Linked DNA regions of Xenopus tropicalis. The protein of the gene in region 2 interacts with the protein of the main gene of each other region in a pairwise test. Links are inferred from orthologs where the notes say so. Each region holds a gene or a part of one and is shown on either strand. Other genes may lie near its edges.

Region 1 (4,368 bases), on a different chromosome or scaffold from region 2:
TATCCCACAGTTACTGCCCGTTTTGTTTGGTGTCCAGTTCAACCATTACGGTGGCCCCTGAACCTATAACTGGACTTATACCAGTCTTGCCACAGCAGCCACGGGTGTTAAAGCAGCTGAAAGTCTGCAGACCGGACACAAATGTAACATACAGCACAGGCCTTAAGTGTATAGCTAGTATGGTGTACTAATTTTCTAAATGACACTGTTACACAGCAAATAATTCCCTCTGCCATTTAACCTTTTATTCTTGAACCAACAAATGTATTTGTAGCTGTAATATTGGTGTGTAGGCGCCATCTCAGTGCATTGTGCCTGAGTCTGAGCTTTCAGCCAGCGCTACACATTAGAACTGCTTTCAGCTAACCTATTGTTTCTCCTACTCCCATGTAACTGGAGGAGTCCCAAGCCGGACTTGGATTTCTTACTATTGAGTGCTATTCTGATACCTACTGGGAGCTGCTATCTTGCTCCCTTCCCATTGTTCTGCTGATTGGCTGCTGGGGGGAGGGGGGGATATCACTCCAACTTGCAGCGCTGCAGTAAAGTGTGAGTGCAGTTTATCAGAGCACAGGTCACATGGCTGTGGCACCCTGGGAAATGAAGAATATGGCTAGCCCCATGGGAAAACAGATTACAATGCAGGATTCTGCTGGAGAAGCTCTAATAACATTTTCCCATGTCAGTATTCCTTCACACTAGTACTGTTTCAGAATTCACTTAACAACACGTTTGGCACACAGAGGGCGCTGGGAGTTGTAGTTCACTAACATGTCTAGCCGCAGGTGATTAGCGGCAAGGTATTAGCTTGGGGTTCAGAAGAGTCACATGACTGTCCCACCCATGTGACCTGTGCCCAGCGCTGCTGCTGAGGGAGGCACTCCGGGGAGCAAAGCTCAGCCATTACGTCACCCGGAAGTCACGCTAACTCAGTAACGTGGCGCCCGCAATGCGCGCTGCAACCAAACTGCCACGCAGGCTCCACCTCACTGGACGGAAACGGAGCTTTAGTTTGGTGCTTCGCTATTGGCTAGGAATGCCGAGCAGCTCATCCAATCAGAGTTGTTTACTCAGAGACGGGTCAGGACGGCACGCCCCTTTGCGTTGATTGGATTGCGGCTTGAAGGTTCCATATTGGTTGTGGCACCCCATAGAGTTGACTATCCTGAATCAGAAACACAAGCGGCTATCAGGCGCTTCCGGCAATTACTTTGCCACACGCCAAATGGCGCCCTTGACAACCCTCATACGCCCCGCCCCCGCATTTCCTGATTTGACAGCATCCCCGGCCGCTGATTGGCTCTTATACCCAGTTGGCATGGTGACAAGGCCTGGCAGGCTAGTGTGCGAGTGTGCGTCCCTGAGGGTTGGGCCTGGTACACAAGCCTGTGAGACAGGGTGGGGCTTGCCTATCAGGTGTGTGTGAGAGGTCACGGGAAGCCGCTGCCTGCCCCTCCTCGGCCGAATCTGTCGCTCTCCCCAGAGCCAAGGGCGCCCCACCCTCACTCTCCCGGGACCCTTTCCTACCGCCTATCCCTGCTGCCTGACCGAGCGCTCATTTCCGCCCGGACTTCCACTTCCCTTAACCGGATCTCGGACCCGGGTTCCCGGCACCATGTCCGCGGGAGGAGACTTCGGGAACCCGCTGAGGAAATTCAAACTTGTCTTCCTGGGGGAGCAGAGCGGTAAGGGACCCAATGCCTGGCTTCTTATACGCCTTTATAGTCTGCAGCGAATCCCTTCGTCTTATAGGTGTGCATTCTATTCTGTATATCCGCCTGTGACACACACACACACACACACACACACACACATATATATATATATATATATATATATCCCCTGATCTCATACAGATATCTCATGGCTTTTTATACGCCTTTATAGTCTGCAGCGAATCCCCTCACCTTATAGGTCTGCATTCTATTCTGTATATCCGCCTGTGACACACACACACACATATATATATATATATCCCCTGATCTCATACAGATATCTCATGGCTTCTTATACGCCTTTATAGTCTGCAGCGAATCCCCTCACCTTATAGGTCTGCATTCTATTCTGTATATCCGCCTGTGACACACACACACATATATATATATATCCCCTGATCTCATACAGATATCTCATGGCTTCTTATACGCCTTTATAGTCTGCAGCGAATCCCCTCACCTTATAGGTCTGCATTCTATTCTGTATATCCGCCTGTGACACACACACACATATATATATATATATCCCCTGATCTCATACAGATATCTCATGGCTTCTTATACGCCTTTATAGTCTGCAGCGAATCCCCTCACCTTATAGGTCTGCATTCTATTCTGTATATCCGCCTGTGACACACACACACACATATATATATATATCCCCTGATCTCATACAGATATCTCATGGCTTCTTATACGCCTTTATAGTCTGCAGCGAATCCCCTCACCTTATAGGTGTGCATTCTATTCTGTATATCCGCCTGTGATACACACACACATATATATATATATCCCCTGATCTCATACAGATATCTCATGGCTTCATAGATATCTTTATAGTCTGCAGTGAATCCCCTCATGTTATAGACATATCTGCATTCTATTCTGTATACCTGCCTGTGACAAACACACCCATATATATATATATATATCCCCTGATCTATAGCTCATATCTGCATTCTATTCTGTATATCTGCCTGTGACACACACACCCATATATATTTATATATCCCCTGATCTCATACAGATATCTCATGGCTGCTTATACACCTTTATAGTCTGCAGCGAATCCCCTCATCTTATAGGTCTGCATTCTATTCTGTATATCTGCCTGTGACACACACACCCATATATATTTATATATCCCCTGATCTCATACATATATCTCATGGCTTCTTATACGCCTTTATAGTCTGCAGCGAATCCCCTCACCTTATAGGTGTGCATTCTATTCTGTATATCCGCCTGTGATACACACACACACACACATATATATATATATATATATCCCCTGATCTCATACAAATGGCTGCTTAGATTCCTTTATAGTCTGAATATTCTCTTCTGCCTCATAGATATGCCCCCTCTCATGTCCTACACTCAGCTTCATAGAAACCCCTATAAACTGATATCCCCCATGTTATATACAGATATAATATTATATTTCTGCTCTATTCTGCACCTTTATAGCCCTGAGCGAGACCCCTGTTCTGCTACATTGTGTCTCCGTATTCAGTCACTTTCAGATATAAATATATATAATAATGATTTGCTATGAGACACCGGGCCCTATAGCAGGTAATTGGGATAATGGCCTGGGTACATACTATATAAAGAGACCTGCCTGTTTAATTGGGTGCCAGCGACGTCTCTGAACTGGATTCCTCACATACACAGAATGGGAAAGTCACCGGCGTTTATACAGGATTGCAGCTATATACAGGGTGTTATTATTTCCTTATATACAGCTCCCTGTTATGGGATATCCTTATATATAGTATTAGTGTATAGTGAACCTTATTGTTTCACCCCACCCCCTTTTTTAGGGTTCTATTTATAAAAATGGGGGGTAACCATAGACATAACCTGGAACCTTTACTCACCCTTTAACTAAAGCACTGTCCCTAGAATTTTCTTATCTCCTTAAACCCTATGGGTGAACCCCCAAGCACCATCACTAGGCCCTTATGGGTAACCCTATAAACATTACACCTGTAACTCTCAAGGAAAATCTCCCAGTCTGATACTTTTGTTAAATGCCCTAAATGTTGTCTTCTGCCTCTGAATTCCTTCGTATACACATTATTCCTTTAACCCCTTGGTTAAACCCTCAAACACTTTGGCTAAAAACTCTTATCCCTTTTCTTTACACCCTTAATTGCTTTCCTTGACACCATTTAGCTAAGCCCCTAATGCCCATCCTTTGCACCCTGTGCTAATGCCCATCCTTTGCACCCTGTGCTAATGCCCATCCTTTGCACCCTGTGCTAATGCCCATCCTTTGCACCCTGTGCTAATGCCCATCCTTTGCACCCTGTGCTGATGCCCATCCTTTGCACCCTGTGCTGATGCCCATCCTTTGCACCCTGTGCTGATGCCCATCCTTTGCACCCTGTGCTGATGCCCATCCTTTGCACCCTGTGCTGATGCCCATCCTTTGCACCCTGTGCTGATGCCCATCCTTTGCACCCTGTGCTGATGCCCATCCTTTGCACCCTGTGCTGATGCCCATCCTTTGCACCCTGTGCTGATGCCCATCCTTTGCACCCTGTGCTGATGCCCATCCTTTGCACCCTGTGCTGATGCCCATCCTTTGCACCCTGTGCTGATGCCCATCCTTTGCACCCTGTGCTGATGCCCATCCTTTGCACCC
Region 2 (2,518 bases):
AAACTGCGTGCCCCTACGGCAATAACCCGTAACAGAATCAACGTTGCCTGCCACTTGGCAACTAAAGGGTTAAAGGGGTGGGTTCACCTTTAGAATAACTTAATATGTTATAGAATGGCCAATTTAAAGCAACTTTTCAATTGGTCTTCATTATTCACTTTATTAGGGATGCACTGAATCCCAGTCTCGGTTTGGGATTCGGGCCGAATCCAGGCTTCTGTTGAAGGATTCGGTTTCGCCCGTATCCACGGTCCCACGGTAAATGGTCAGGGGGGAAAAAATTTGTAGCGTGCGCAGCGCAGCAATTTTTAACCCCTTCCGATCCTAATTACCATATGCTAATTAGGATTGGGCAGAATCTGTCAGGGTGGGTTCGGGGGTTCAGCCAAACCCAAAAAAGTGGGTTATATAGGGAAATATTCGCCTTCTTCTTCTGACTTTATTTGTTATAGTTTTTGAATTATTTCCCTTCTTCTTCTGCCTCTTTGCAGCTTTCAAATGGGGGTCACTGACCCCGGCAGCCAAACCCTATTGCTCTGTGAGGCTCCAGTTTTATTGTTATTGGTACTTTTTATTCCTTATCTTTCTATTCAGCCCCTCCCCTATTCATATACCAGTCTCCTATTCAAACCACTCCCTGGTTGCTAAGGTAATCGAGACCCTAGCAACTTAAGAGCTTCTGAAATTCAAAACTGGAGTTGCTGAAATCATTGAAAAAAATAAAGACCAATTGCAAATTGCCTCAGAATATCACTCTCTACATCATACTAAAAGTTAACTCAAAGGTGAACATCCCCTTTAAAAGCAGCAAGTAATTTCATATATTATATAAAATGATAAAAACCTGAAACCCCAACTCTATGCCTTCCATTTAGCAATTGATTTAGATGTGTGCTGCAGACTAAACTGATTTATGTGCAGCCATGCATGTAAGTTAATTGCTAATTAGCCAGATACCATTAAAGTCAATGACAGGAGGCACAGCCTGGTCCAAGTGTAACATTATCTACTTAAAGGGGCAGTACACCCCCCTGTCCAAACTGAAGCTGCTCCATGTTTGGTCCTTGCGAGGCAGAATATTATGTTACTGATCCCTTGGCTGCAAACAGGGCGGTCTTATCTGTAAGGCTGTGTAGTCCTGGGGGGCATTGCCTATTTACTAACTCTGGGGGTACAATTGCCAGAGCCCTAAGTTGTGCCCCATTGGACGCATCTACAGAGTACTTCTGCCTATGGGATTTCAGTACAAGTTGCATTGGGCTAAGACTGAAGGAGAAGGTGGCCAAGTGGACACAGGAGCCAGACTGGGGCAGAATAATGGGGCAATGGAATGTATGGGCTTTGTACCTGGTGGCAAACACGGCCCTCAGGGAGGAGAAGGTGGCCAAGTGGACACAGGAGCCAGACTGGGGCAGAATAATGGGGCAATGGAATGTATGGGCTTTGTACCTGGTGGCAAACACGGCCCTCAGGGAGGAGAAGGTGGCCAAGTGGACACAGGAGCCAGACTGGGGCAGAATAATGGGGCAATGGAATGTATGGGCTTTGTACCTGGTGGCAAACATGGCCCTCAGGGAGGAGAAGGTGGCAGCGTCTTCCTTTAGTGCCTTCAGCTCATTGCGCAGCTTCATCATCGTCTCCGTGACCATCGCTTTCTCGTTCTCGTACTTGCTCTTCAGATTGGCCAAGGCCACCTCTGCCGTCTGTAACAGAAGCACAGAGACATTTACTCCAAAGGGCTCAGGTCTGTCGGCGCCGAGTTCCGCCGCGAGTCCAATCAGCAGCAGGAGATCAACAGCGGCAGTGTTGCGTCTGAAATGCTGAAAACATAAAAAAAAGGGGGCAAAGAACCCACAAACCATGAGCAATTTATTCAACTGGAGGTGAAATAACCCAGAATCTTTAGCTGTGAGATATGTATGAAGCCTGAGGCGTGACTGGCATGTACGGAACATGAGATACCGCCAGTTGGGGAGCAGCTGTAGGGCCCGGGGTTCGGTTTCACCGGCCGAGAGGCTCGGGCACGTTCAGATAATCCAGGGATTAAGTGCGGAGCTTCCGCCATGCAGACTTGGCAAAGGGAACCTACTTTGGCCATGGATAAAGGACAAGTCAACCCAGAATATATTTGTTTGCCTAATACAACTTATATATATATATTATTTGTATTTATAACTGCTATTAGAAGCAGTGTTTGTCCCTTTCTATTCTCTGCCCTGGGGGCCTGACAGACCTGACTCGCTGGGGGAGACTGACCCCTGAAACAGTGTAACACAAGGCAGCAGCCTGACAGACCTGACTCGCTGGGGGAGACTGACCCCTGAAACAGTGTAACACAAGGCAGCAGCCTGACAGACCTGACTCGCTGGGGAAGACTGACCCCTGAAACAGTGTAACACAAGGCAGCAGCCTGACAGACCTGACTCGCTGGGGGAGACTGACTCCTGAAACAGTGTAACACAAGGCAGCAGCCTGACAGACCTGACTCGCTGGGGAAGACTGACCCCTGAAACACAAG

The links.
Region 1: the proteins of bicd2 (region 2) and rab6a interact in binary tests that used the Homo sapiens proteins (3 or more experiments, as listed by UniProt). The link is inferred for Xenopus tropicalis from reciprocal best matches to the Homo sapiens genes BICD2 and RAB6A.

Annotation. Positions count from the first base shown.
Region 1 is NC_030678.2:174,066,180-174,070,547, reverse strand, and holds the start of rab6a (ras-related protein Rab-6A), read left to right. Parts: upstream 1-1,512; 5' UTR 1,513-1,615; coding exon 1,616-1,685; intron 1,686-4,368. UniProt on the Homo sapiens protein: The small GTPases Rab are key regulators of intracellular membrane trafficking, from the formation of transport vesicles to their fusion with membranes.
Region 2 is NC_030680.2:150,881,131-150,883,648, reverse strand, and holds part of bicd2 (protein bicaudal D homolog 2), read right to left. Parts: intron 1,704-2,518; coding exon 1,552-1,703; intron 1-1,551. UniProt on the Homo sapiens protein: Acts as an adapter protein linking the dynein motor complex to various cargos and converts dynein from a non-processive to a highly processive motor in the presence of dynactin.